Linked DNA regions of Arabidopsis thaliana. The protein of the gene in region 2 binds, or shares a complex with, the protein of the main gene of each other region. Each region holds a gene or a part of one and is shown on either strand. Other genes may lie near its edges. A codon is read from its position in the direction of its gene.

The links.
Region 1: the proteins of COP1 (region 2) and COL3 are in contact, whole or in part, in a crystal structure (PDB 6QTX), measured with the Arabidopsis thaliana proteins. Residues at the interface, in NP_180854.1 of Arabidopsis thaliana: Ile373 (codon at 5,649), Ser375 (codon at 5,655), Gly390 (codon at 6,227), Val391 (codon at 6,230), Lys422 (codon at 6,613), Leu423 (codon at 6,616), Tyr441 (codon at 6,670), Arg465 (codon at 6,838), Trp467 (codon at 6,844), Asp484 (codon at 6,895), Asn507 (codon at 7,570), Cys509 (codon at 7,576), Ala526 (codon at 7,769), Ala551 (codon at 7,844), Ser553 (codon at 7,850), Thr568 (codon at 7,895), Lys593 (codon at 8,055), Asn594 (codon at 8,058), Phe595 (codon at 8,061); in NP_180052.1 of Arabidopsis thaliana: Gly287 (codon at 3,475), Phe288 (codon at 3,478), Gly289 (codon at 3,481), Val290 (codon at 3,484), Val291 (codon at 3,487), Pro292 (codon at 3,490), Ser293 (codon at 3,493), Phe294 (codon at 3,496).
Region 3: the proteins of COP1 (region 2) and CRY1 are in contact, whole or in part, in a crystal structure (PDB 6QTW), measured with the Arabidopsis thaliana proteins. Residues at the interface, in NP_180854.1 of Arabidopsis thaliana: Ile373 (codon at 5,649), Ser375 (codon at 5,655), Val391 (codon at 6,230), Lys422 (codon at 6,613), Leu423 (codon at 6,616), Ser424 (codon at 6,619), Tyr441 (codon at 6,670), Trp467 (codon at 6,844), Asp484 (codon at 6,895), Asn507 (codon at 7,570), Cys509 (codon at 7,576), Ala526 (codon at 7,769), Ala551 (codon at 7,844), Ser553 (codon at 7,850), Thr568 (codon at 7,895), Lys593 (codon at 8,055), Asn594 (codon at 8,058), Phe595 (codon at 8,061); in NP_567341.1 of Arabidopsis thaliana: Glu544 (codon at 5,405), Asp545 (codon at 5,408), Gln546 (codon at 5,411), Met547 (codon at 5,414), Val548 (codon at 5,417), Pro549 (codon at 5,420), Ser550 (codon at 5,423).
Region 4: the proteins of COP1 (region 2) and HYH are in contact, whole or in part, in a crystal structure (PDB 6QTT), measured with the Arabidopsis thaliana proteins. Residues at the interface, in NP_180854.1 of Arabidopsis thaliana: Ile373 (codon at 5,649), Ser375 (codon at 5,655), Tyr441 (codon at 6,670), Trp467 (codon at 6,844), Asp484 (codon at 6,895), Lys505 (codon at 7,564), Ala506 (codon at 7,567), Asn507 (codon at 7,570), Cys509 (codon at 7,576), Ala526 (codon at 7,769), Asp527 (codon at 7,772), His528 (codon at 7,775), Lys550 (codon at 7,841), Ala551 (codon at 7,844), Ser553 (codon at 7,850), Thr568 (codon at 7,895), Lys593 (codon at 8,055), Asn594 (codon at 8,058), Phe595 (codon at 8,061), Phe646 (codon at 8,325), Ser648 (codon at 8,331); in NP_850605.1 of Arabidopsis thaliana: Leu28 (codon at 2,882), Leu29 (codon at 2,885), Met30 (codon at 2,888), Val31 (codon at 2,891), Pro32 (codon at 2,894), Asp33 (codon at 2,897), Met34 (codon at 2,900).

What each region holds. Positions count from the first base shown.
Region 1 is NC_003071.7:10,564,446-10,570,137, forward strand, and holds COL3 (CONSTANS-like 3), read left to right. Parts: upstream 1-2,390; 5' UTR 2,391-2,513; coding exon 2,514-3,092; coding exon of another isoform or gene 3,093-3,176; exon of another isoform or gene 3,177-3,178; intron 3,179-3,195; coding exon 3,196-3,501; 3' UTR 3,502-3,700; downstream 3,701-5,692. Other genes in the region: ARF3 (ADP-ribosylation factor 3), read left to right, coding at 13-60, 237-367, 483-516; AT2G24780 (uncharacterized protein), read right to left, coding at 1,236-1,394.
Region 2 is NC_003071.7:13,974,866-13,984,947, forward strand, and holds COP1 (Transducin/WD40 repeat-like superfamily protein), read left to right. Parts: upstream 1-3,015; 5' UTR 3,016-3,134; coding exon 3,135-3,452; intron 3,453-3,791; coding exon 3,792-3,869; intron 3,870-4,003; coding exon of another isoform or gene 4,004-4,007; coding exon 4,008-4,163; intron 4,164-4,420; coding exon 4,421-4,771; intron 4,772-5,341; coding exon 5,342-5,499; intron 5,500-5,593; coding exon 5,594-5,659; intron 5,660-6,186; coding exon 6,187-6,265; intron 6,266-6,555; coding exon 6,556-6,711; intron 6,712-6,807; coding exon 6,808-6,906; intron 6,907-7,512; coding exon 7,513-7,617; intron 7,618-7,759; coding exon 7,760-7,939; intron 7,940-8,024; coding exon 8,025-8,135; intron 8,136-8,246; coding exon 8,247-8,417; 3' UTR 8,418-8,744; downstream 8,745-10,082. Other genes in the region: AGO6 (Argonaute family protein), read right to left, coding at 33-149, 250-409, 492-589, 677-774, 881-1,014, 1,200-1,418, 1,516-1,721, 1,809-1,991. UniProt on the Arabidopsis thaliana protein: E3 ubiquitin-protein ligase that acts as a repressor of photomorphogenesis and as an activator of etiolation in darkness.
Region 3 is NC_003075.7:5,720,735-5,728,865, forward strand, and holds CRY1 (cryptochrome 1), read left to right. Parts: upstream 1-2,916; 5' UTR 2,917-3,525; coding exon 3,526-3,859; intron 3,860-4,026; coding exon 4,027-4,245; intron 4,246-4,328; coding exon 4,329-5,817; intron 5,818-6,167; coding exon 6,168-6,171; 3' UTR 6,172-6,534; downstream 6,535-8,131.
Region 4 is NC_003074.8:6,021,244-6,026,512, forward strand, and holds HYH (HY5-homolog), read left to right. Parts: upstream 1-2,600; 5' UTR 2,601-2,727; coding exon 2,728-2,791; exon of another isoform or gene 2,792-2,864; coding exon 2,865-3,051; intron 3,052-3,143; coding exon 3,144-3,342; 3' UTR 3,343-3,467; downstream 3,468-5,269. Other genes in the region: RBL14 (RHOMBOID-like protein 14), read left to right, coding at 3,703-3,918, 4,142-4,930; AT3G17620 (F-box and associated interaction domains-containing protein), read right to left, coding at 5,255-5,269. UniProt on the Arabidopsis thaliana protein: Transcription factor that promotes photomorphogenesis in light. Acts downstream of the light receptor network and directly affects transcription of light-induced genes.

The DNA.
Region 1 (5,692 bases), 3.4 Mb from region 2:
TATGTTTTATAGGAAGATGAATTGAAAGGTGCGGTGGTTCTGATATTTGCAAACAAGCAGGTTAGTAGTCTCTAAATGTTTGCTCTTCCGATTAGTTTGGGCTGATTCATCTGGAAATCTGTATTGGTTTCTGTTGCTAAAAAGCTTTAGTTTGTTTTGCATGCACAAGACACTTTTTTGCTGATGAAAAATCTATAACTATTTGGTCTGAGTTTCATTAAATCGACTTAATTTAGGATCTTCCCGGTGCACTCGATGATGCGGCTGTTACAGAAGCCTTGGAGTTGCATAAGATAAAGAGTCGTCAATGGGCAATCTTCAAAACTTGTGCTGTGAAAGGCGAGGGACTTTTCGAGGGATTGGACTGGTAAGCACATTCTGAAACCGAACCATTTTCTTGGTCCCATTATTGAAACACTGAACCCATTTCTTTATGCATTTCTTCTCAAATATTCTTCTCTCATTTCCATCTTGATCTTCAGGTTGAGTAATACATTGAAGTCGGGAAGTGGCTAAAATCATCGTCATACACCAATCTGTCACATTTCTCAAGAGTGTAACTTTGATCATTTTTACTTATTGGTTTGTTTAGTATCTTTTTTTTATCTTAGTTCTTCATCTTAAAGAGTTAATATCAATGACATGTTCACTTAATATTCTCTTTTTGTTGTTTTGTTTCATTCTGAAAGAAAAAACCCAACACAGATTTTTGATTGAGACCCATAAGGGGTAATATCATCACTTTTTAACATGAAATATTGAACTGATTCCAGACGAAACACTGAATTGGTTCCAAGTGGTGTTTTTGCCGACTTGGATTCAGAAGCTCAAACGTTTGGGGTTTTAGAAGTCCTAATTTATGTAATTTGTCTGCTCCTTAATTAATGATAAAATTGTTGACACTATTATGCCATTTAGTAGATAGTAAGATTTTTTTTTAATGTTTTCAAAGAGGCAAAAATAATTTGCAAGGAATATATAGAACTAGCAAGATACTAGCCTAAGCTATTTGATTAACTTTCCTGCTAATAATGCTAGTATGCTACCAAAACAAAACACAAGCGATTTGTGAAGCTCTTTCTTAAAGAGTCCGGCTCGGCGTTTAGAGAATGTAACTTGACGGTGGCTCTCTTTCTTGATCTTACCATAGAATCTTTTATATGGCGGGTGTTGAGCAAATTAACTTAAACAAATTTGTTTTATTATCGTAACTCAATAAAAATTACGATTTCTAGTCATAAACAAAAGGCTGTACATAGCATTAGGCCTGCTACGGATCCGGATATCCGGGTTTTTTGGAGTATCTGGATCCGTATCCGTATCCGGCGGATATGTAGTTTTAGGATCCGCATCCGGATCCGTAAACCTCGGATATCCGGATTTCGAATATCCATGAAAAAACCGGATATCCGCGGATATTCGAGATCCGTTTATTTTTGGGAACAAATTCAATTTCCTATTTCACCAACCAGATTGAATTCACCACCAAAAGAGATCGACGTGTGCCCGACATCAGACTTTGCAAGGCACATACCACCAAGATCTCGTCTTTAACGGTGTCCAATCTGCTCCTCCTCATTCATCTCCGCCATCGACACTTTGAATCCCATGTATCATCATTCCCGTAAGTAAACTTCCGTCCATAAATTTACGACGGTGGAACCGAGATGAATATGGTGGGGAGACGGTGATGAAGATTACATGGAGATGAGATGGAGATAGTGAAGGAAATGGTGATGAAGGAAACATTCACGGCGGCAGAAAAAATATGTTATGAAACCCTAATAGTTAAGTCCCAAACAAACTCAAATTCCATCATTTTGTCGTAGTGGGCTAATATTGGACTATTGGGCTTAACATTGATAATGTGTATTTGATTAAGCCCAGGATACAAATATAACTTAAGCCCATAATACAAATATGTAGACATATTGAACGGATGCGGATATTCGGCTCTGATTTTTTTCATAATCTGGATCCGTATCCGGATCCGCCGGACTCGTATCCAGATCCGCCGGACTCGTATCCAGATCCGCCGGACTCGTATCCGGATCCGTCGCACCTAATTATTCGGTTTTCCGGATCGGATCACGGATCCGGATTCGAATACCCGCGGATAACGGATTTTAGTCCCAGGCCTACATAGCATCTACGGTAATTATTAACTATTAAGTAACCATGGGTAAATTCGAATTTCCTTGCCGACAAAAAGAAGGAACTTTCCATTCCTTTTGTGAAAGTCCGTGAGAACATGAACCCAAGTTAATACACCTTCACATGATTAGCCCCACTTCTCCTAAATGTCTCGTAAACTCCAACTATTCGGCTAAGATTCACTAACGTGTCATCTCTCTATTCGCTATTCCCAGATCTCCATGACCCACTTCACTCCCTGCGCGTCCGGTACAATCGCCACTTCCATAACACCAAGAGTCAATACAAAAAAAAAGCCGACTCCATTATTATCCCTCTCTCTACAAAAAAAACAGTAGAGAGAGATATAGAGAGCATCAATGGCGTCGTCGTCAAGACTTTGCGATTCGTGCAAATCGACGGCAGCAACTCTATTCTGCCGCGCAGACGCCGCGTTTCTCTGCGGCGACTGCGACGGTAAGATCCACACAGCTAACAAACTCGCATCACGTCACGAACGAGTTTGGCTATGTGAAGTATGCGAACAAGCACCAGCACACGTCACGTGCAAAGCTGACGCCGCTGCGTTATGCGTCACGTGCGACCGTGATATCCACTCAGCTAATCCACTCTCTCGCCGCCACGAGCGCGTACCAATCACTCCTTTCTACGACGCTGTAGGTCCAGCAAAATCCGCTTCCTCCTCCGTCAATTTCGTAGATGAAGATGGCGGTGACGTCACTGCTTCGTGGCTTTTAGCTAAAGAAGGAATCGAAATCACTAATTTGTTCTCCGATCTTGATTATCCGAAGATTGAGGTAACGTCGGAGGAGAATAGCTCCGGTAACGACGGAGTTGTTCCTGTGCAGAATAAGTTGTTTCTTAACGAAGATTACTTCAATTTCGATCTCTCTGCTTCCAAAATTTCTCAACAAGGATTCAATTTCATCAACCAAACTGTACGAATCTCTCTCTATCTTCTTAAGCTTCCATGGATCTGGAAAATTTTCAGATCTAGATCTGAAAGTTTGGATCTGATTTGAGTTTGTGAAATGTTGTTAGGTTTCGACGAGAACGATAGATGTACCGTTGGTGCCTGAAAGTGGAGGAGTGACGGCGGAGATGACGAACACGGAGACGCCAGCTGTGCAGTTATCACCGGCGGAGAGGGAAGCAAGGGTTTTGAGGTATAGAGAGAAGAGGAAGAATCGGAAATTTGAGAAGACGATTAGGTATGCGTCGCGTAAAGCTTACGCTGAGATGAGGCCGAGAATCAAAGGACGTTTTGCTAAGAGAACAGATTCGAGAGAGAATGATGGTGGAGACGTCGGAGTTTATGGCGGATTCGGTGTTGTTCCGAGTTTCTGATATTTTCCGGTGAAAGAAACATGGTAGTAGTATATCGGTTAATAGCAGATTAAGGATAATTAAAACTAAAATGTTTCCTGATTTAATCAGGGGCTAAGTTATTGTTAGAAGATTGTTGTTTTTTGAATTAATTCTCACAATTGTATCCTAAATTATATAGTTTACTTAATGTTGAACTAATAAATTTTGATTTACAATCTCTGTAAGAAATCGATATGCAAAAATAAATGAGTTGAGCTATTAAGATTAACATTCATATAGAACACAAACTCATACAATCAGCTGTGGTGGTGTCCGAGACTGCAAAATTCAAGAGGCGATGGAGGCCAACGTTGATGGTGAACGAGGCCAGATTCGAGAAGCAAAAACTTGTCACGCGGTTGAAGAGAAAGAGCATTTAAAGAAGAGGTGGTTGTGGGTTTCGATACCGTTAGAGCAAAGCACACAAGCTGCAGAGATATTCAGTCCCCAACTTATGAGCCTGTCTTTCTTAAGCAATCTACCTTTCAATGCAAGCTAAGTGATGAAAGAATACCTTGGCACTGCATTCTTGAACCAAACAACCTTATTCCAAGGAATCAAAGTAGAATGTGCTCGTAATTGCTCTCAAGTTTCCTTAGAAGAGAAAAATTGTGCAAAGAAACCAAACATTAAGATATTTAGTTATTAATGAAAATTCAAACATGAGAAAAAACTTAATCAAACGAAAGCAACACAAAAGAAGAAGAAATCTACATATTCTAAAATAACAAACCACTAATTCTCTTTTAGTAAATGGTATAACCTTGAAGGAGAACCCTTTCAAGTATTAGATAATCTAATCATTTTTCGTCGTCATTACTCATAAAGTGTCGAAATATCACTTCATATCAATTGGTTTGCGTAAAACTGACCATACGTCTTCAATGATTGTCATATCAAATGATTCGAAAAGTGTTGGCATATGCATACTCTAGTTTTCATAATGAATCGATTCTCAGACTCTTAGCAAACAAAGGAACATAACATCATCATAATAAAATTTTGAATGAAGTCAGAAACCGCAAATCAAAACTGTGAAGATATGAACTTGATAAGCAAGTTTAAAGCTAACTCAAGTTAATATAAGTTGAACTTGGGTTGAGTTAAATGCTTTTGGATCATAAAGGAGGGTGTCCACGATGTTGCAAGGGCTGGCACAAGTTAGGACAGTCTTCTCATCTTGTGTTTCAAGCAGCCACGTTTGGCGTTTCAAGATGCAACCTTTAAGGTTTACTTTAGCACAAGAAGCTCTAGTTTTATTATCACTATCAATTCACAACAATGTTATTGTGGCCCAGCAGTTAAGTCTCTGTTCCACTTAAGCTTTGACTTATAACTCTTGTAGTCACCTTCTTCTTCATAGTGGAAAGATGTGGATCGAAAGAAAGATCATAACCGGACGTAGCGGTTCGTTAATACCGTGAACCAGGTGAACAAATATTTGTGTGCTTCTCTCTTCTTCTCCCTTTCTTCTACTCTGTTATTTCCTCTTATTCTTCTCCATACTTTGCGTGATATGTTTTTCGTGAGTTGGTGTCAATGACAAAGAGCTGAAAGCTAGAGCCTTTGAGAGGTTAAAAACTTTATGTAATATTGTGACGACAAGATCTAAAAATATATGCGGGGATCAACTTAATATTTTTAAAATAAGTATATACATAAGAGATAAAACTAAGTATGCCATTATTTTAAAATTTAAATTTATCATGATATATTGTAATTAACAGTTTAAGTAATGGTAGCAATGTCCAAATGAATTGTGAACTGTCGGGATCAATGACATTGAAATTCTACAATTCATTGAAATATTATTGAGATAATATTATTCTTTGTGTCAATAGGAGGAGAAAAATATATCACCATTTTCGGATGTCAACCAACCGATTTTGACATTCAAAACATATTGTACAAAATATGCTATTACTAATAAAATTCAGTATAAATTTATCATTTTATTTGGTAGCAATTTCTACATAAAATCTGAACTTCCGAGATAAATGGCTTCAAAATTCTCAACCATATGGAATTTTTTTTTTTTTTTTTTGTGACATTAGGTGAAACTAAACCAAAATATATGAAAATAATTTCCTACATTTTATAAATTGAATTTTTTTTTTCTTCTAATTAACTGAATTGAGAAGGGGTTTTCAAGAGATGACAAGTACTACTC
Region 2 (10,082 bases):
AGCATCATCCGAGGTCAGAAAACGAAGCTCACATCATTGAGTGTTTTAATTCTCTCTAGAGGTTTTTGTCTTGAACTTTCAACAAGTAAAACTCTTTGCCTCCCTGACAATGGTTTTGTATAACGTTGCAGAGATACAAGATTACAAAACTGCAAGAAAAGAATTAGAAGTTCAAACATACACACCTCCAGAAGTGGGATAAGAGACTACAAAAAAATTAACGAAGGAAACACTGCTGGAGATGGATACCTCCAGTGGAAGATAGTTGGGCCGATCTGGCTTGCCAACATCAAGGCATGGAAAGTACGCAGAAGAAATAGGCTCTGTGTAGGTTTGCTTGAAATAGTCATACACAGTAATCTCTCTAATAGGTACCTCACGTTCACCATCTTTAATCTTCATTGAAAACCTGGAAAACGGTGAAGAAAGTCAAGCAAAGGCTGAAAAAGAGGACAAAATATATATTGATAGTACAATCATGGGGAACCTACAGTTGCTGATTGCACGGTTTCGAACTTAGACCTATAATTTTAAATTCCATGTTACGGTGTGTTGCCTTAACCCTCATATGTTTAAGCATTTTCGCAGCCTGCCAAGTTTCAATGAAAACTTCACAAGCTCAAAACAAAAGCAGCCAGTCATGTTCTCAGTTATTGCATTTAAAAGCCAGAACTACCTTAATCCAGTCGATTTGCCGTGGTGTCTCAACACTCTGATTGGCTTTCAGGAATTCAATAACTGGACCAGGTTCTAAGATCATTGTTGTTGACACATCTGCAAACCATCACAAAACGAAAACAGTTTTGCTTATTAATAAAACTATCCACAATTAAGACAAGTTTATGAAAGCTGGAGATGAGAAAGGTATACTGAAAAATACCAATGTTAAGCGAGAGTCCTCCATGAGTTGGACGAAAGCTCGAATGTAAACCTCGAATACCTATAACACCTCCTCCAACTTTCATGGGGTGCCCATCGCTATGGAAAAATGCCTGTCTGACCAAAAGGCATCCCCTGCATTATCAACAGTTTTCTATAGTAAGCATCGAGCATGGTCACAAAATGCAAATAGTTGTACATTGATTAAATTTCACCAACAAAGTGAAAATATGATAATAAAAATTGGTCCATTAGAACGTAGAGTATCTATTTTAATAAAAATATAAACTGCACAAAAGCAAACAGATAGAAAGATTTACCTTTCAGCTGCTTGCTGCCTCAGTACAATGTCAAGCACTCTAAGTGCATCCTGAGCACTCTTATCTGGTGTATAAGCTCCTCTCTGAGTGCCAAGAACAGTCTTCAACGGTATTTCTGCAGCATAATGTATCTGAACCTTGTAACTTCTTGGCAAGAAAGAACGTTTTGATCGCTTGCAAGTACCGGAAGAACTACCACCATCAGAGACACCACAATCACTATAAACTTAACAAGACTGCGTTAGTTAGAAGATCAACAAGATCTATCTTGACACCTTGAAACGATTAAATATCAATCCAGATAAGAGGGACATACCGTTTTGAAAATGACCCTTCCACGATGACTAGAAAGTCAAATTCGTTCTGTGGTAGAGGACCAACAGTATATAAAGTCTTCTCTCCATCATATGCCAACCTTTTACCATCAAGATCAGAAGAGTAAGTCTTGAATAGTTGGTCCATAAGCTTTCTGCTTATTCCTGTCCCATCAACAGCATCACCGTTTTCTGTGGTGATACTAACCTGCAAAAAAGGTACCGATATGTCAAACATCTCACACACGCACAGACACTGATGAAAGAATGCAGAAAAGTGACTAATGAATCTTACAGTGTACTGGTAAAATACTACATCCGGCTGTCTCACAGAAACATTAAAGTGATTGGTGCACAATTCTATTGGGTTGCCTGTGGTTCCAACCCCACGTCTAGTTGTGATGTCATAATCTCGATGGCTGGGCTGTTCTGGTTCTATACTTATGGGTGACAGTGGCAGAGATGAAGATGTCTCCATCCTTCCAGGGGAAAATAATCTGCAAGAGAGAAAAGTGGAGGTTGGTTACAGTGTGCAAAAACCAGTCCAAAACACAATGCTCAGGAGACTAAGAAAGAAAAGAAAAACACCAAATTAAGAAGACAACTCCAAAAGGTAAAAAGCTAAAAACTTTACCACCATTGTCGTTCTAAGATTTTAATTTCTGGGCATATCCTGCTAAATCGCGAGAAATGGTATAAATTTCAGATGAGGAACAAACTTAATCTGGAAAAAAAATGGCACCTTTAACTGTTGGTCGCCTTCAAAATTGAGAAACATTACACAAACAAAAACTCATTCGAGTGTGTCATACAGTAGCATAACAAGACTTTCAAGAGAGAAACAACGCAGCCAAAACCATACAACTATCAACAGACAAATCCTAGCTTCATGCAAATTCTCCGAAAGAGAGACAAAAACAAAACCTAGCTCCGAATCAACAACAATTACAACAGCGATATCTAGTGAAAACAGCGCACCTTTGAAAGAATTAAGAAGAGGATTTCTAGGGTTCCGGTGAATCAAAGAGAGGAATTTATTTAGCTCATTTCTCTTCTCCGTCACAGTCTCTTTGGGTTTCCCAGACAAGCAAAAGAATGGAGGGAACGTTTCCAGTGATGGGAAAATTAAAATATATTTCACTTTTCAGTCATTTTTTACAGTAACAAAATTTAAGAACTGAAATAAAAATGGTTTATTCCAAAATTATTAAACCGAATCCTTCAAAACTTATTCTATTTCTAGGGTTATGCTCCGGTTGAATGGATTGAAATTCCCAACTTATTCATTTCAAATAGTAAGAAATAAAATGAATGGTTGTAAGAAATTAAATTAGACCGTCGTGGTAATTGTAAGAAATTTCATTGAACCGGACTATAAATTAGAAGCCGGATAATTAAACCGTACCAGCGCTTGGAGAAACGCCAGACACACGCGCGAAAAGAAGCGCGTAGACCAGAACGTGTAGGATTTGTCACCTCAGAAAAGAACCACGGTGGATCCCACCACACCTCAGCCTCACTCCTCCTTCATCTCCGACGTCATACCCAAACCACTCTTTTCTCACAATTCCGATTTTCTCAAAAACCAAAATCACAATCGAAGAAATCTTTTGAAAGCAAAATGGAAGAGATTTCGACGGATCCGGTTGTTCCAGCGGTGAAACCTGACCCGAGAACATCTTCAGTTGGTGAAGGTGCTAATCGTCATGAAAATGACGACGGAGGAAGCGGCGGTTCTGAGATTGGAGCACCGGATCTGGATAAAGACTTGCTTTGTCCGATTTGTATGCAGATTATTAAAGATGCTTTCCTCACGGCTTGTGGTCATAGTTTCTGCTATATGTGTATCATCACACATCTTAGGAACAAGAGTGATTGTCCCTGTTGTAGCCAACACCTCACCAATAATCAGCTTTACCCTAATTTCTTGCTCGATAAGGTTTCTTTTTCTAATTTTACTCGTAATTTGTGTTTGGTCCTTAGCTTTTCAGTTCAAGTTCGGGTGTTGCTTGTTTGAGTCTTAGCTTGTAATCAAGTTTGGTTTTTGTCGTGGTTTTTGTGGAAACAAGTAAGCTAGCTTAGTCTTTAATCGATTCCAATGAACCTTGCCATTAGATTTTCTTAGGAAGGTTTTGTTTTGTTTTTGATGTGTAGTATTGTGGTAGGATTCTGCTTATTACAGCTAAATAGAAGCATGTTTATAGGAATGATAGTGTATTGAAACTATTTATCACTGGAATGCAGCTTATTATATGACGTTTATGTATCAATTGTGTAGCTATTGAAGAAAACTTCAGCTCGGCATGTGTCAAAAACTGCATCGCCCTTGGATCAGTTTCGGGAAGCACTACAAAGGGTCGGTTCTTAACAAGCTTTTTATGTTTCATTTTTTCCTCTTTAAGTTTGCTTTCTCAGAATTATTATTGGAGTAAAAAGCAATTCTAAGTCATTTCTTTTGATCAAATATTGACTTCCTGCGTTCATACTTAGACAGGGTTGTGATGTGTCAATTAAGGAGGTTGATAATCTTCTGACACTTCTTGCGGAAAGGAAGAGAAAAATGGAACAGGAAGAAGCTGAGAGGAACATGCAGATACTTTTGGACTTTTTGCATTGTCTAAGGAAGCAAAAAGTTGATGAACTAAATGAGGTTGGTTTGTCTGAATTATGGAGTAGCATTGGGCTACCTATTGATAATTATTCTCGTTGCTCTTCATTCCATTTGCTTCAAAATCTTCACTGGGTTTAGACTGTATAGTTGTTGTAAAAGAAAGCCATAAACCATGTTTCTATCAATAGATGTATGATCTATCCAACTATTCATGAGACGTATAACCCCTGAATGTTAGATGAGATCTCAGAATATTATAGAATTCTGTCATTTATGTCTTCTCTATCTTAATGTAGGTGCAAACTGATCTCCAGTATATTAAAGAAGATATAAATGCCGTTGAGAGACATAGAATAGATTTATACCGAGCTAGGGACAGATATTCTGTAAAGTTGCGGATGCTCGGAGATGATCCAAGCACAAGAAATGCATGGCCACATGAGAAGAACCAGATTGGTTTCAACTCCAATTCTCTCAGCATAAGAGGAGGAAATTTTGTAGGCAATTATCAAAACAAAAAGGTAGAGGGGAAGGCACAAGGAAGCTCTCATGGGCTACCAAAGAAGGATGCGCTGAGTGGGTCAGATTCGCAAAGTTTGAATCAGTCAACTGTCTCAATGGCTAGAAAGAAACGGATTCATGCTCAGGTTTGTTCCTCCTTGTCTACTCAACATCTTTATGCTGAAATGGTAAAAGGACAATGGCATTAAAGTTTAAGATATTTGTCTATTAAAGAATAAGAATAATTACTACAATTAGGCCCCAGTGATTGTGTTACAGTTACTACCATGCCTAGCTACTCAGCTCTTGGTCATCTGGATTGACAGCTCGAGAAATTGAAAGTGGTTGTGGGTAGAGGATGAATCTTCTTACGGAAAAGATACCTTAGATTAAGGCCCACATTTTTGGTGGTCTTTATAAAAAGCCGATTGGACTTCAGAGAGATTGATTTCGTATTGTTTGCACGTAAAAGTAGAAATAGCTTTCTGGACTTTATATCTACTGCTTAGTGATAGTAGCCGCTTCTTGTCTCTCTGGTACTATAGCAACAAAAAGTCACTATGTTCTCTAGACACACTAACAGTTCTGTGAATACTATGCAATCACAATTATAGTAGTTTTCTTGAAAAAACCTGCATGGTCCTTTAATCTCTCTGTAACTGCTTGTTGATATATGCACAGATTGCCTAATTCTGTTAAAGTGTCTTGTCTTGTAGTTCAATGATTTACAAGAATGTTACCTCCAAAAGCGGCGTCAGTTGGCAGACCAACCAAATAGTAAACAAGAAAATGATAAGAGTGTAGTACGGAGGGAAGGCTATAGCAACGGCCTTGCAGATTTTCAATCTGTGTTGACTACCTTCACTCGCTACAGGTAGAGGAGTGACTATCCCTTTTCAATCGGTCTAGCCGTACATAAAGAGTGTTTTCGAATTAGTTGGGGTTTTAATTGCACTCTTTATTCACAGTCGTCTAAGAGTTATAGCAGAAATCCGGCATGGGGATATATTTCATTCAGCCAACATTGTATCAAGGTGAATTTTCTATTCCTTGTTCGTTGATCAGATAACAGATGATAGGTACCAAAAGAATGTCTCCGAATATATCAAAATAGACCCTTAAGTGATTAAGTTTTGTTTAATGTATTGATAGACGCAATTATTACTATGGGATTCGTTGCTGTGTAATTCTAAGCCAGTGAATAGTATGAAGATAAAACTGCTGACATGGTAGGGAGAAGGTTGTGTAGTCAGCAGGCCACTTGAGGAGAATTTTCTAAAAGATGGAACACTATGTTATCCTTATCCATGTCGGAATATATAGAATCGGTTTGCGATCTTTTATATGAAAGTGTCTCTTCTCAATGAAGAGACGAAAGATATATATTTTTAGTTTATGGTCTGGGAGCTCCGGGGCTCATATCTTTTTCTCTCTATGTGCTTTGGTTTATGGTCTTCCATAGTTTACATGCTTTATGCTTTGCCTGGACCTCTAGTTTACCTGTAATTTGATGTACCATCTTACTGATTTTGCTGATGAAGAGGGTGCTGTTCCTTTTCAGCATAGAGTTTGATCGTGATGATGAGCTGTTTGCCACTGCTGGTGTTTCTAGATGTATAAAGGTTTTTGACTTCTCTTCGGTACGTTCATAAATCTTGGAGTGCATTCAATTACATACCAATTGAATCTTCTTGTCCAACCTTATGCTTTTGTGAAACTGATCATGCATCTCAATTCTAAGAAAGCTTCGTTGATAATGAAACTAAGTTATGCTCTTGGGAAATTCTAGCTTTGATGCAAGATAGCCATTTTACACTTTTGTATTGCGTAGAAGAATATAAATCAAAGCTAATCAAATTTTTGGTTTTAATTTTCTGTTTTATCCAATGGACCACGCTGAACTGATTGATTATCGGCTGCTACTTTTCAGGTTGTAAATGAACCAGCAGATATGCAGTGTCCGATTGTGGAGATGTCAACTCGGTCTAAACTTAGTTGCTTGAGTTGGAATAAGCATGAAAAAAATCACATAGCAAGCAGTGATTATGAAGGAATAGTAACAGTGTGGGATGTAACTACTAGGCAGGTGAGTACTTTACCCAAAGTATCTAACATCGCACCTATAAGATATTCATCTCATGAATTCTGCAGCGTATTTGAATTTTTATGTAAACTGAGGCAGAGTCTTATGGAGTATGAAGAGCACGAAAAACGTGCCTGGAGTGTTGACTTTTCACGAACAGAACCATCAATGCTTGTATCTGGTAGTGACGACTGCAAGGTAAATATCTCCATATTTTCCGTTATCACCTTTCATCTCACATTGGGCTATGTCTCATATAAAAAGAATACTACTTTTAGATATCTCCTAGCTCTTATAACTAACTTGGTCACGGATTTGTCTAATTTCTACGACGAACTAAAGAGACATATTGTGAAACAAAACTGGAGAATCTCCTACTTGCTCATTAGTACATTGTGTTCTCATGAATCTTTTCTACTACTTCTTAAACTTTTCTTTGAGTTGTTCTTCCCAACTTGGGGATTGGTCATATGTAGCCCTTCCTACATTGAATGTTTGTTGGTTTCTTAAATTTTCAGCAAAATTTTCCCCTTAGTGTATCTGTGGTGGCTATACATTAGGAAACAAACGAAACTGGACACTTGTATATAGTAGATTTTACCTTGAAATTTTGTAGCTTCATTTGTCCAAATTTAATTAAACGTTATTGAAAAATTCACTGGATTTCTAATTCTGACAAAAGCATATTATACCAGTGGGCTCCTTTTAAGTCAATTCACTACTAGTTAATCCTCAACCATGCATTATTGCATCTGTTAAATCATGTCTCATAGATTAACCAATTGTGCTGTGTGTTTGATCCAGGTTAAAGTTTGGTGCACGAGGCAGGAAGCAAGTGTGATTAATATTGATATGAAAGCAAACATATGTTGTGTCAAGTACAATCCTGGCTCAAGCAACTACATTGCGGTATATACTTCCACGCCTCAACTTTGCATCTCACATTTATTCGCTACCACTCATGATCAGCATGACACTATCACACGTCTCTAGATATAATCTTTAATTAGATAGAGAGACTTAGACGTTTAAGCCTGTTGACTTATCACAGGTCGGATCAGCTGATCATCACATCCATTATTACGATCTAAGAAACATAAGCCAACCACTTCATGTCTTCAGTGGACACAAGAAAGCAGTTTCCTATGTTAAATTTTTGTCCAACAACGAGCTCGCTTCTGCGTCCACAGATAGCACACTACGCTTATGGGATGTCAAAGACAACTTGCCAGTTAGATTACTGCCCGAGCCAATCTTGCAGATTCAGTCAAAAAGAAAAACTTGTCTTGACTATGTTGTTCAATTTTACTTTTCAGGTTCGAACATTCAGAGGACATACTAACGAGAAGAACTTTGTGGGTCTCACAGTGAACAGCGAGTATCTCGCCTGTGGAAGCGAGACAAACGAAGTATATGTATATCACAAGGTTCACAAATCCGAAACCTCTGCTCTCAACTTTAGCATTTTTCATTCATGATTCACAGATTTTCAACCTGTCGTTGCTCAAGTATTTTAAAATGTGAATGATGCGATGCAGGAAATCACGAGACCCGTGACATCGCACAGATTTGGATCGCCAGACATGGACGATGCAGAGGAAGAGGCAGGTTCCTACTTTATTAGTGCGGTTTGCTGGAAGAGTGATAGTCCCACGATGTTGACTGCGAATAGTCAAGGAACCATCAAAGTTCTGGTACTCGCTGCGTGATTCTAGTAGACATTACAAAAGATCTTATAGCTTCGTGAATCAATAAAAACAAATTTGCCGTCTATGTTCTTTAGTGGGAGTTACATATAGAGAGAGAACAATTTATTAAAAGTAGGGTTCATCATTTGGAAAGCAACTTTGTATTATTATGCTTGCCTTGGAACACTCCTCAAGAAGAATTTGTATCAGTGATGTAGATATGTCTTACGGTTTCTTAGCTTCTACTTTATATAATTAAATGTTAGAATCAAAATGCGGTGATGTGAATCGGTCATGAAAAGTCAAACCTTGGCTTATACAAAAGGTCCGACCCATGCAATAAGTCATTAGTATGTTCATGTAGCAAGATCATTGAAAAAAAAAAATCATTTTATAATGTAAAATTCATGAGAATTGACGAATTTGTGTCATAAGTGAAATTATATACAATTACTTAACACCTCTAAATTAACTCATAACAAAGTGATTGTGTGACACATTTTCATAAATTGGTCGTATCAATACTATAAGAGTAACCCTTTTAAATTTGGATACGCAACTAGGGATGGCATGATGTCTATATAAAATCATGCATGCTTTGTGAAGTTTAAATCACATGGCCAAACATTTTAGTTTTCGTCTTTTGTTTTCGTTCCTAAAAACGTTACATACTTCACTTGGTCATCTTAGTCATAATAATTAGGTTAGGTGGCTTAATAAAAGAATGCTATTTACAGGTTTTTCTAATTCCCTAAGTTACAAGTCATTGACTTTGTAAACAATCTCTTTTGAGTGGAAAGAACGACTTTTTCACAACGAATTGGACACACTAATGTGTTTCTTCCCTTTAAGCAACCATAGCCATCAAATCCTAGTTTTCTTTCTATTAAATAACTACTTTCATACAACATTTTTTGTTAATTGATATTCTACACATATAATTCGATACCTATCCTATTTTTTAAAAAATAACCGCGAATTCGGGTCTAAATCTTAGTCTCTGTATATTCAGATTCAATTTTTAGTCTATTTCTTTTAGAAATTATTTGCTAGCGAAATACATCTCTTCCCAAAAAAAATTATATTAAACTAGTCTTAAAAAAATTACAATTTTTTGTACGTTTTAATTTATAATTGCTTATAATATACATCTTATAAACTCGAAACAACAACTTAAATTTATCGTAGTAATTAATCAGAAAAATCAATAAAGAAATTGGCTAGTCTTATATATGAAAATGAATTGTGGATAAGATTGAATGTGTGTTAATATTTTGAGTTTATATAATTAACTAAATAAAACACAGTACCAAGTCAATGTTCTAAAGAAATGTTACAATATTAGGCTATTAAAGTAACTAGATGGTCACATAATTGGAATTTTCGTTGTTATGATAATATCATATCGTTTCACGTTAGCCACATATATTTTCTTTCAGGTTCACATCGTATTATAAGTTTATAATACGTATAGTATATAATATAGGCGGAGTCACTCAAGCATATATCTATGAAATCTAAATGTGATGTATTCTTTATATTTTTCCGTCACTAAACTTACGTCAAGTATAGATATATTAGTACAACAATTAGTAATAACACTACTAATTATTTTATTCTCACGACGAGTCCTATGAATTTTTAACTTTTATATACCAAGAAACACCGAGATTAATCATAAATGGT
Region 3 (8,131 bases), on a different chromosome or scaffold from region 2:
GATCAATTAAATATTGTTATTTTCATATTTACATTCTCATAACAAAAATAAAATTCCAATTTTACCCTTACCATCTCAATTAATTATTAATTTTAGATGATGTGACATTAATTTTATAAGTTTTGATAAAAATTAATTTATTAACATTTTATTTTATGTTGTCTCAAAACTTTAAAATTTCATGTTTCTCATAAATATTTTATTTTAAAATTCAACATAAGAAATTAGGAGAAAATCAAAATATTTAAAAATATTCATTTTTACAATCATATTACATTGTCACAATATCAAAGAGATGTTTTATCTTGGGATTCAATCTTCGATTCTAGATTTCCTCTATTAATCGCTATGAGAATCGACAGTAAACAATTTTCGTTGTCCTGTTTTGCCAACATCAAATTTGATAACCGTTCATGATCTCCTCTTAATCCTATCCATAATTTTAATCGCCAATAAAATTAATTTGATCTCATTCGTCGTAATGAATATGATATCAACGAGCATTGATATGAACTTCTTCTTCGTCGTGAGAAACTTACTATTCGAATTTAAATACTTCACAAATAAAACTATTTTCGACAAAATCTTAATCCGATCTCATTGTCTCTCTTAAGATTGATCAATTCATAAAAATGTTTTATTTTTATTTTTATTTTTAAAAAGTTTTTTTTGCTTTTTTCTCTTGAATTTTAAAAAGCAAATAATATAGAAACAAAATATTAATAAAATGTAACTTTTAAAAATTAAATAAAATTAGCGCTTCATCACCTAAAAATTAATAGTTAATTGAGCTAGTAAGGATAAAATTGGAATTTTATTTTTATTTTGAGATCGTGAGTATGAAAATAAAAATATTTAATTGTTTGTGTATTAAATTTTACAGTTTCTTTTGTATGTGTATTGTTTTTCCAACCGAAAAGTTTTGGATATTAAACGTTCAAATATAAAATAGTTGGAGTTTTGTTTGGGAATTTTCACTAGTAATAAAGCAGAAGTTTTCTAATTTATTATATCCATATATAACTTTACTGTCATTATGGTACTCTTCTATGTTAGATTGTATATATTATAATGAATCAATTACGGATTTGCCATTCTCTTAATTGTATTTATGAATTTTTCCTTTTTGAATAGTTTGTAAATTTTGCCCTTTTTGAGGTTACAAAAATGTGATTTAAGATGCGTTTTACTCGTTATATTTAGGTTTAGTCTTTGGTATAAGTATGTATTTTAAAAAAACGTAACGAGGTACATTTTTAAGTGTTAAAAATAATAAATCCGTAAGATTTTAGGAAAAATATCATTTTCACAAGATTTTTATAAAAAAGGCAAAATCAATAATAATCTCTATTATTTTTTGTACATACATATAATAAAATAATAAGCTCTTTCTAGCTATATTATGAATACTCCTACGAGCAATAAAATAATAAAAGGCACGTTATTTACACTCGAAAACAAGCTAATTTAGAGGTGGTCGAGAGCAGATATCATGATTGTTTTTTTTAATGTATGTAATCCGTTCATTTGTGTCATCATTATTCATTTTTATATTATTTATCCGCTTTGTTAAATATATTTTGTCTGATGTGAATTAATTGTTGAGCGGTAAACCAATCATGAAGTTATCTTTAAATTAATGTGTTATTGATAAAAAAAAAAGTAAATTAGTTGTAAATTTTTTTTTTCGTCAATTTGTTGTATACTTAATCTGATGAATATTTATGATTTTCAGAAATGTATGTTTGTATCTTCTAATTTTTACCCACAAAATTCAATGTCCTACGCATATGATGGAATTTAACCAAATACAAGTAGCTAGTTAGTGATTCTGATTTGTTATTTTTTTTTATGTAGGTCTAAGTTATAAATCAATTTTCTTCGAACCTAAAATATATTTTTAACCAGCTCTCAGTATCATGTTTAAAGCTATTAAAAAATTTAAGTAGACGATTCGACAACTACGCTCACCCTAAAAAAATAATCAGATGAAAAAAATCTAAATCTAAACTATCAAACATATTAAAAACAATTATGAAGACTATTCGACAACTACGCTCACTATAAAAATTAATCAGAAGAGAAAAATGTAGATCTAAACTATCAAACATATATGTGATGGAATTAAAATTGGGTAAAGCCGTAAAAGAGGTTTCATAATTTTGGATTAGTGATTTGGTAACTTAAATTGACTTGTCAAGGGAGTCTTAACTCTATCATGAATCAAGATAAACACTCTCCACACCAAAAACAATATATATATATATATATATATAGATAACATAAAAAGTCCTAAAATATGTTAAAAGGCAAGGAGGGCCAACCATATCCATCTCTCGCCCACTTTTGCTAATATGTCACTCTCTCTCATATCCTAACCTTCCAATAACATTTCAGAACCATCCTCGGTACATCATTTATATGATTTCTCTATTATCCTTAATAATCAACTTTAAAAAAATAAAAGAATAAAATTAAGATATCATTTGTTTTACCAGATAAACCGATCCGATTCAAACTAAACCATATTGATATTTATAATCCAAAAACCTCAAATCCAAAACTATACCAAATCATTTATTATATCATTTTATTTTATCTGAATATACCATTTTTCATAACACAGAAATTTTAAAAACCTAAACGAAAATCGAAACGAATCAGAACCGAAATCCGAATTGAACCATTTGATAATTAACCAATAATCGTCCCACTAAAATCCAAGTGTATAAAAAATCAGTTTAATATTTATATGTAGAATATGTTCTAGAGAATTATAGTATAAGATTCTACATTTTTTTTTTTTTTTTGAACAAAGAAAAAAGGAGAAATTTTAGGGAAAGGAGTAGAAATCTTGTGAGTCACAGTTGATTTGGTTCAACTGGATTGGGATAATATTTCAAGTGGAAAGAAATAAATAAAAGTTGTGGTGGAAAATTATTCCAATAAATCTCGTCGTGTGAATTGAATCATTATTCCTAGTGTCAATCTTCTTCACCTCTCTCTATCAACCTCCAATTTCTTCTTCTTCTTTTTTTTTAGATAACTTATTTTTATTTTATTTTTCTTTGATTTTTCACTTTAAGACAAAAATAATAATTTTATATTTCTACCAAAAATAAATAATAATTATAATTTAATAAGAGATAAATATTTTTTCAAACTGTAACCTAAACAATAAATAAATTAAAAGAGAAATTAATGCAAATATTGCTATATTTTTGGGTTATTACTTAGAGACTACTTTGTCCAAAATTAGGAAAAATCTTTTTGGGTGAATAATTCCCAAAAGTATAGTTGCATTTTGCCAGAGAGGCACTCAGAGAGAGAGAGAGATATTCGTAAAGATAAGCTTTTTTTTTTTTTTTGCCTTCTCATCAAAAATCTTTTTTTTTTTGTTGTCTTTCTTCTCGAGAGAGATAAGTGACCAAAGGGTTTCGATTTCTGGAAATAGTTTGAATAAAAAAGTAATTTTTATGTGATTATTGGCAAAGAAAAGTTTTAGTTTTTTTTAGTTTGTGAGAGATGTCTGGTTCTGTATCTGGTTGTGGTTCTGGTGGTTGTAGTATTGTATGGTTTAGAAGAGATCTTAGGGTTGAAGATAATCCAGCTTTAGCAGCAGCAGTAAGAGCTGGTCCAGTGATTGCTCTGTTTGTTTGGGCACCAGAAGAAGAAGGACACTATCATCCAGGTAGGGTTTCTAGGTGGTGGCTCAAGAACAGTTTGGCTCAGCTTGATTCTTCTCTTAGAAGTCTTGGTACTTGTCTTATCACCAAGAGATCTACTGATAGTGTTGCTTCTCTTCTTGATGTTGTTAAATCCACTGGTGCTTCTCAGATCTTCTTCAACCATTTGTATGGTCTGTTGTTCCTCTTCTCTTCTCTCTTTATCTTATCTTTGAATTTGCATGATAAAAAGATTTGATTTTTGTGATTGGAATCATCTTTTCTCTTATGGGTTATGTTTTGTTTGATGTATTTGTGGAATAAGATGATCTGGAAATGATAAAGTTTTGATCTTTTTCAGATCCATTGTCTTTGGTGCGTGATCACCGAGCTAAAGATGTTTTGACGGCGCAAGGCATAGCGGTTCGATCATTCAACGCAGACTTGCTTTATGAGCCATGGGAAGTGACTGATGAATTAGGCCGTCCTTTCTCTATGTTTGCTGCGTTTTGGGAGAGATGTCTTAGTATGCCTTATGACCCTGAGTCTCCTCTTCTTCCACCTAAGAAGATCATTTCAGGTTTGTTTCTTTGCCACTCTCTCTTGTGGGTTTTCGTTTTTTCCAAATCTGTATCATTCAATAATGTTTCTTTTATGTTGCAGGGGATGTGTCTAAATGTGTTGCGGATCCATTGGTGTTTGAGGATGACTCTGAGAAAGGAAGCAATGCACTTCTGGCTCGTGCTTGGTCTCCTGGATGGAGTAATGGTGATAAAGCTCTCACAACGTTTATAAACGGTCCATTGCTTGAATACTCTAAGAACCGCAGAAAAGCCGATAGTGCTACAACCTCGTTTCTTTCTCCACACTTGCATTTTGGGGAAGTGAGTGTGAGAAAAGTTTTTCATCTTGTTCGGATCAAACAGGTCGCGTGGGCAAACGAAGGAAACGAGGCCGGGGAAGAAAGCGTGAATCTTTTCCTGAAATCTATTGGTCTCAGGGAGTATTCTAGGTACATAAGTTTTAACCATCCATATTCCCATGAAAGACCACTTCTTGGCCATCTAAAGTTCTTCCCTTGGGCTGTGGATGAGAACTATTTCAAGGCATGGAGGCAAGGCCGGACTGGATATCCGTTGGTCGATGCCGGGATGAGAGAGTTATGGGCTACTGGTTGGTTGCATGATCGCATAAGAGTAGTTGTTTCAAGCTTCTTTGTTAAAGTGCTTCAATTACCATGGAGATGGGGGATGAAGTATTTCTGGGACACACTTCTTGATGCGGATTTAGAAAGCGATGCTCTTGGTTGGCAATACATTACCGGTACTCTCCCGGATAGCCGGGAGTTTGATCGCATAGATAACCCTCAGTTTGAAGGGTACAAGTTTGATCCAAATGGTGAATACGTAAGGCGATGGCTTCCTGAACTCTCTAGACTCCCGACAGACTGGATACATCATCCGTGGAACGCACCTGAGTCCGTTCTTCAAGCTGCTGGTATCGAGCTTGGATCAAACTATCCTCTACCAATTGTAGGATTAGACGAAGCAAAAGCACGGCTTCATGAAGCGCTTTCACAGATGTGGCAACTAGAAGCTGCTTCAAGAGCTGCAATAGAGAACGGATCCGAAGAAGGACTTGGAGATTCTGCTGAGGTAGAGGAAGCTCCTATAGAGTTCCCAAGGGACATTACAATGGAAGAGACTGAACCAACCAGACTCAACCCAAACAGGAGATATGAGGATCAGATGGTTCCAAGCATTACTTCTTCTTTGATCAGACCTGAAGAAGACGAAGAGTCGTCTCTTAATTTGAGAAATTCAGTAGGAGATAGCAGAGCAGAGGTTCCAAGGAACATGGTTAACACCAACCAAGCTCAGCAGCGGAGAGCAGAACCGGCTTCAAACCAAGTCACTGCTATGATTCCAGAATTTAATATCAGAATTGTTGCAGAGAGCACTGAAGACTCAACAGCGGAATCTTCCAGCAGCGGAAGGAGAGAAAGAAGCGGAGGCATAGTCCCCGAGTGGTCTCCAGGGTACTCAGAGCAGTTCCCTAGTGAAGAAAATGGTATTGGAGGAGGAAGTACAACGTCTAGCTACTTGCAGAATCACCATGAAATACTGAACTGGAGACGGCTTTCACAAACCGGGTATGTAACTCGCAAATCCGACTCTCTCAACAATAAGTTCACATAAAGATTCTAAACATTTTCAAATTGAAAGTCTCCAAATTTTCAGTAAGTTTCAATCTTCCTACACAATTCAAATAAATCGTCGATGCGCGTTGTGCTTGGCACACTTGTCTAGCCAAGTAGTATCAGTTTTAAATTGAATTTAGCTGAAAAGTTTTGAACTGTTTTCAAATCCAAGTGTTTGCATTTACAGTAGACCACAGTAAAAAAATTAGTGAAAGTTTCTATGTTTCACAGTTCAATTGGAATTTGGTACATTGGTCTAACCAAGTGGCATGAAATTTACTGTGGTATGTTTGGTTTTACAGGTAAAAAGTGCATTTGGAGGTGCAAAAGGAGAGGAACATCATAAGGGCTGTAACTCCGGTGAAATCTGGTTGGACTGTAAACCGAGTACATTTGGTACGGTTTAATGTAATTCCGGTTATGGGGCTGGAGAGAAACTATGTAGGAGTTTGTCTGATGTACATTTTTTATTTATCTCTGGTTCCATCATGTTATAATACACTGTATAGTAAGTAGTCTGTTGCTTGTGGTATTAGACCAGGTCTCATACTTGTTGGCTTTCAAAGTTTTGGTTATAAGTCAAACAGATGCCAATTCTTAATCTTATAAACATATATAGTTCACATTTATTTATGATAAATGACTTGTTAGTGTATATGAAACACGTACGTCTACTTCCATATAACGAGAATCCGAATAGGTATGTATACTGATAGTAGCCTTCGACGTCACGAGCTTCCCACAAAATCTCGTGCTGATTAGAAACTAGACAAGACCACGATCTCAGTTATAATCTCTGCTGGGCCTAATTCGCGTCTGAAAAAACGTGTCTCACGAAACTGTGAATAACTTAATGAGCTTAAATCCAAAACAACTTCTATAAAATGGAAAACGACGATGAAAGACTTCGAAATAACTCTACCAAATTTCGTTACCTTTGACAACGATTTGATATGTTGAAACTGTTTCTTCCCCAATCCTAACGATTTTGATCCTTCTCCTTCTCTCTCTTTTTCTCTTTTACAGAACGAAAAATGACTAACCAAAGCTCTAATTCGAGTTTCCTTCTTTTATAGGTACACTCTAGGGTTTCCATTAACCCAACCGATTAAACCGGGTGATTTAAACACAAACCATAACCGATTTTCCGGTTTACGGGCTTTACACAAGAACTATTCCTTAATGATCTCTTATGATCCATCCCAAACCGAATCTCTATCGGGAAAAATGTCATTTAAATCATCACTTTACCATTTTCGTTGGTTTAAATCATGAACTCTCGATCTGGTGATTTAAATCCTCAATTTTATGTTGACGTTTAATTTAATCACGAATTCTCGTTAACTAAGCCAATTAAGACACATCGTTAGAAATCTTTCTAATCAAAATTTCTGAGTTTTTCTCTATTTTTCTTCAGAATCTCTTATCTTCTTTGGAATATCTCTTCTTCTTCGAATTCAAAGTAATCTTTCGTCTTTAGGTCGATTGAAGACACCGAAAAAAAAAAATTGTGCCTCAATTGGCTTAGTCAACGAGAATTTGTGATTAAATTGAAAGTCAACATAAAATTAAGGATTTAATTTACGAGATCTAAAGTCCATGCTTTAAACCAACGAAAATGGTAAAAGGATGATTTAAATGACATTTTTCCCAATCTATATCTCTTATGATGTGACACGTCGTAGTTAGATTTGATTCATCCTCTGTCTAGTTTATTGTATTTTCCGAGTGTCTGAATAATAGTTACCATCGAGAAGTACTTTATAAACTTCGTATATCTTTTTCTGTTTGATGAAAGCATATTTTAAAATAAACACGTAAATAAAGCATTTTCTGAAAACGAAAACAACAAAAGGGAAAATACTCTTTAAAAAATAGAAAAGTGTTTAACATAGTCACACTTTTTCAATTACAAATATTTTTACGTAGCTTTTTATTATGTGCGTTCATTTATTACTCATATATTTCCAAACTTGTTTATTGTTTATTTGCTAAAAACATTATTTCTCTTATACATAATAATTATGTGAAAGTATTTAAAAATTTAGTAAGCAAATATATTAATTTAACAAAATATTTATAGAATTTAACTTTATCACTTTCCTTGAAATATTGTTGGACTGTCTCATTATTTATATATTTGTTCTTTATGTACATAATAATAACTCTTCTTTATGTATTTGTTCACTAATAACTTTTCATATAAAAATATTTCAAAAATATCGTTTAATCATAATTCTTCTTTTCTATATTGGTATTCATAAAA
Region 4 (5,269 bases), on a different chromosome or scaffold from region 2:
AACATAAGGTTCCCCACATTTAACTATGAACTTTCAACCTTCTAAATATGAACACACATTGATTTCTGAAAACCACTGTAATAATTACCCGATTAGATACTTAATTCATGGGTTTAGATCTTTGGAGTTAGTTAGTAGTAAAAATGTGAAATTATGGTTTTGAGATTTGTTTACATGTAAGATTCGAAGTTTCCGTAAAAAGGTGGTATCCAAGGAAAGTGTGTCTAAATGATGTTGGAGTTAATCTGTTAAGGCTTTGATTTTAATTTCTCAACTGCTCAGATTCTTTAATTAGGAGAGATAAGGGCCAAAAAAGGCTTTATTGTCTAGCCGTAAACAGAAACAGAGCATCACATCACTTTCACTTTCTTACACATCAATATTTGAAAGAAAAAAACTGAGTCTATAGACTATGAACTTGGGGGATCAATTTTTTAGACCCTTCTGTTGATAAGAAAACTCAATTGTCTCTTATGACACATTAATGTAACAGACCATTGAAAATTGCAGAACCAATAAAAATAAGGTAGACTTGAAGAGTTTTGTGTATATTGTTTTTGTGGAGCAGACAGTGTTCTTTTCTTTAACTATACGTTTCCTGTTAATGTCTCTTTAGCTTTGTGGATTGTCTCTCTTAGAAGCCCAAATCTTTTACTCTTTTTTGAAAATCAAAATAGAATTCGTTGATTTATGATAACTTCAAAATATAAAGTAGACATAAATTGTTACATCACATAATGCTCATTGGCTGTATTGATAATAATATTAGATTCTAGAATCATCATGGGAAGTGCACTCTAATAGTTACTTTGTAATAAAGCCTACCTTGGATGTTGGATCGATAAGACTCCTATTAGCTATTATACGATCTGTCTTTGGACATGCATGTCTGGTCTCTAGGGATCCTTCTTGTTAGAATTTCGATATATATAACTTTATAATGTCTAGTAGTCTAATGATGAATGTTTACTCCTCTTTATACTTATAATAATAATTAAGACTACTATAAGTCTATAATCAATTAAACTTTTATCAAAAAAATATGTCCAAGGAGTTATTACTCGCATACCTCGACTTAAAAGAGTTTTGTCATTAGTTTTCGTTGAAGTAAGTAAGAACCAAAGATAATAATCAAACTCCTGATTTTCTGAAGTTTCTTAAAATGGTATTCAAATTTTGGCCATAACTCTCAATATATTAAGACCGAGCATGCGAACGAGAAAAAATATGATCACCATGGTTTGCAGCTCGATTACTTCTAAGTTCTAACCATGGTAAATTTAAACGTTTTGTTGAAGTAATATAGAGAGGCATGCAATAGTATTGTGCCAAAAAGTTATAGCAAGAGAGATCAATATCATGATATGTACTCCTAAATTAACGTGGCATGTTCATGCATAGACAAAGATGCAATCATATCTCCACGTTTGCATACAGCTTCAAATAATAAAATCATATAGTCATACAAACAAAATGAATGTCCGCTGCTTATGAAAATTAATTATTTGGATAGTACTTCGTATAAAAGTTACATCAAATGATTTTAGTTGATTTTAAGACAAGGGGTCCCTTGAGTGATACACAAACTCATCATGAGTATTCTGATCCATTTCATGACGAATAAATTAAAACACAATCAGAAGGTTGATCATGGGTTGGGAAAGATGTATTGGTCGGTCGATATGCCACATGTTATATTATGTTTTATACTTATTCCTGAATAGAAAGATATGTATGAGTCGAAATATACAAAAGAAGGATGAAACTTGTTCTTCTTTATAACCTTATAAAATGTTCACATTGTTTATGAGTGATTTCCCGCGTCCATTCCATACGACTTCATGATTAACATCCCTCAATATATTGATTATGACAATGTTCGAAAAAACTGTTAGATGCCAGGCAGACGACGATTCAACCGGCCAAGTTTTGTTTCCGCGCGCGCGCATAAGTCCACTATCTAATATGCAACCATTACGGTAGAAGTTTACTTGGTCCATTTTCATTGATAACAACAAAAAATCGTAAAACTTTAAAATTATGATGAAAAACGTAAAAAAGAACATGGGAAAATATATGGCGGAATCACAAAGCATGAAAAAATGCTTCGGAATGATTGACTGAATTTACAATTGGTAGAATTTAATTTTAAGAGATAACATTTAAAAATTCAAAACATTAGTTAGCTGTCTTTATACAAAAGAGTTATTTGTGTACCAAAAAATAGAAAACGAGATATATGACCACATGATGAGTTTATGCATGCCTATTACGCCATGCAAATAGATACACACACACATAGTTGTGCCTCTGACTTTGTCTGCAAGTACGTTTGTATGGTTCTAGACAGTAATTATTGTCCTAAACCCACACGCTCTGTGAATACTCACTAAAGGTTGTTTTCCGTAGAAATCATGAACAAAGACTTTAAAAGCAAAACAGAACAATAAATCAATTAATAAGTTCAACGGGATATAGTGGAAAAGAAAACACAGATACACACCATTGGATTGAAACAGTTGCATTTGTGGTCTTACATAAACCTACGTGTTCTTTTATAAGCCAACCAATACTTTTCTCTTTTTTTTTGTTTGAAACGAGTTGCAGACTTTGAGTGGCCCCAAAGAAGAAAGAAAAGATGCAATTTCCTTTGGTTTGATATTCTCTTCAACCTCTTACCTCTCTATTCTCGTCTTTAGCAAAATCTCAAAAGACAAAAAGATATTGATGTCTCTCCAACGACCCAATGGGAACTCGAGTTCGTCTTCTTCCCACAAGAAGCACAAAACTGGTAGGTGTTGAAAGAAACTTATCTAATATTTAACTTAATTTGGTTTAGAGAAATTGGTTTGTATAATTCTCAGAGGAAAGTGATGAGGAGTTGTTGATGGTTCCTGACATGGAAGCAGCTGGATCAACATGTGTTCTAAGCAGCAGCGCCGACGATGGAGTCAACAATCCGGAGCTTGACCAGACTCAAAATGGAGTCTCTACAGCTAAACGCCGCCGTGGAAGAAACCCTGTTGATAAAGAATATAGAAGCCTCAAGAGGTAATCAATGATGAGTAAAAAAACTTTTTTTTCTTAGCATTCGATTTGTGGAATTGAAATGGTAAAAAAGAAACTGTGGTGAAAAATTACAGATTATTGAGGAACAGAGTATCAGCGCAACAAGCAAGAGAGAGGAAGAAAGTGTATGTGAGTGATTTGGAATCAAGAGCTAATGAGTTACAGAACAACAATGACCAGCTCGAAGAGAAGATTTCTACTTTGACGAACGAGAACACAATGCTTCGTAAAATGCTTATTAACACAAGGCCTAAAACTGATGACAATCACTAAATATTTACCCTTTAATCCATTGTTCAGTGTTGTATGATTATCTTTCTTTCTTTTTTGGTTTTGGTTTGTATACACTTTTTGTTCGAATAACATTCACTTTGAGCATCATTGTCATTCAGATTTGCAAAATAAAGTAAAAAAAAACGAAAAAAGGCAAGAAGAGATTAGGTATAAAAACTAGAGTTCTAAAATGCCGTGGTGGGTCCCACATGTTCTTATGCGAGTGAAACGAAGAAGTCTCTGGAGAATTTGTTTTCGTAGAGACCAAGCTGCTGCTATATAAATATTGTGAAAGAGATGAGATTTTAATTACTTGTAAGTGATTCAGAGAGATCAGAAGAAAAGAATAATTACGAAGAAATGGAGAATTTTGGTGAAGGGAGAAGAAGTGGAGGCGGAATGTTGCCGTTGCTGGCTCTAAGCGCCGTCGCGGAGTACTATAGACTACCGTGGAAACCACCGGTGACGGCGAGTCTCCTGGCCGCGAACACTCTCGTTTATCTCAGGCCGGCGTTTATCGATCCCGTTATTCCTCACATCAGTGAGGTCTGGTTCAATCCTCACCTCATCTTCAAGGTAAACCAATCTTAATAAATTCCTTCATTCGCCAAGAGAAATTGATTGCAATTTGACCGATTTCGATCTGAAATTCGAATTTGAGTTTCCTGGGAAATTTGTACCAATATCTGGAGAATTAGGGATTTTGTTCTTCGATATCTAATTAGATCATTCTTGATTGATTAATTCTATTCTCTGTTAAAGTTTTTTTTTTTAATCTTGATGTGTATTTGTTGAACAGCATAAGGACTTGAAGCGTTTATTTCTATCAGCGTTCTACCATGTTAACGAGCCTCACTTAGTCTATAACATGATGTCACTTCTCTGGAAAGGTATCAAGCTTGAGACATCAATGGGAAGCAGTGAGTTTGCTTCAATGGTCTTTACTCTTATTGGTATGTCTCAAGGAGTCACATTGTTGTTAGCCAAATCGCTTCTTCTCTTGTTTGACTATGACAGAGCTTACTACAACGAGTATGCGGTTGGGTTCTCGGGTGTTCTCTTTGCTATGAAAGTTGTTCTTAATTCTCAAGCTGAGGATTACTCAAGTGTGTATGGTATCTTGGTTCCAACAAAGTATGCTGCTTGGGCAGAATTGATTCTAGTGCAGATGTTTGTACCTAACGCTTCGTTTCTTGGGCATTTGGGTGGAATCCTTGCTGGTATTATCTATTTGAAGCTGAAAGGTTCTTACTCAGGCTCAGATCCAGTCACTATGGCGGTTAGAGGTGTATCTCGATTGGTGACGTGGCCCTTGAGGTTTCTGAATGGTATGGTTAGGTCTCGGAGAAGGAGGATTACGGGGAGAGGAAGAGTGGGAAGAGGTCAGACTGGGATAGCAGGACCTGGTATTTGGAGATGTCAGTCGTGTACATATGACAATTCTGGTTGGTTAAGTGCTTGCGAGATGTGTGGCTCGGGACGGGCTAGAGGAAATGGATGGTCACTGAATCAGGGACCAGCACTTTCTTCTTCTAATGATCTCCCTTTAGATGAGCTGCGCCGTCGAAGAGTAGAGAGGTTTAGTTGATCTCGGGAGCGCATTCTTAAAGCTGAGGAAGGATTGTGAATGAAGCTTTGTTGAATCATTCATTGCATTAGCTTATGAATAGCAGAGTTAGTGGTCGTGTTTTTCGATCTGTTTCTTCAATTTGTCTTCTCTTTTGTTGTTGAAGATTTGGTTCTACGTGAACTGGTCCTTTGATTAGATTGCTGAAAGTAGCGAGTGATTCAGATAATATAGTATCTTCACACCAAACTTACAGTTTCACAGACTTTCGATTTTAACAAAATTTTATCCTATTTCAAACCAAATTTTGTTGAAAGAAGAAGATCACAAAGCAAGATATAAATGTTAATCAGTAATCAA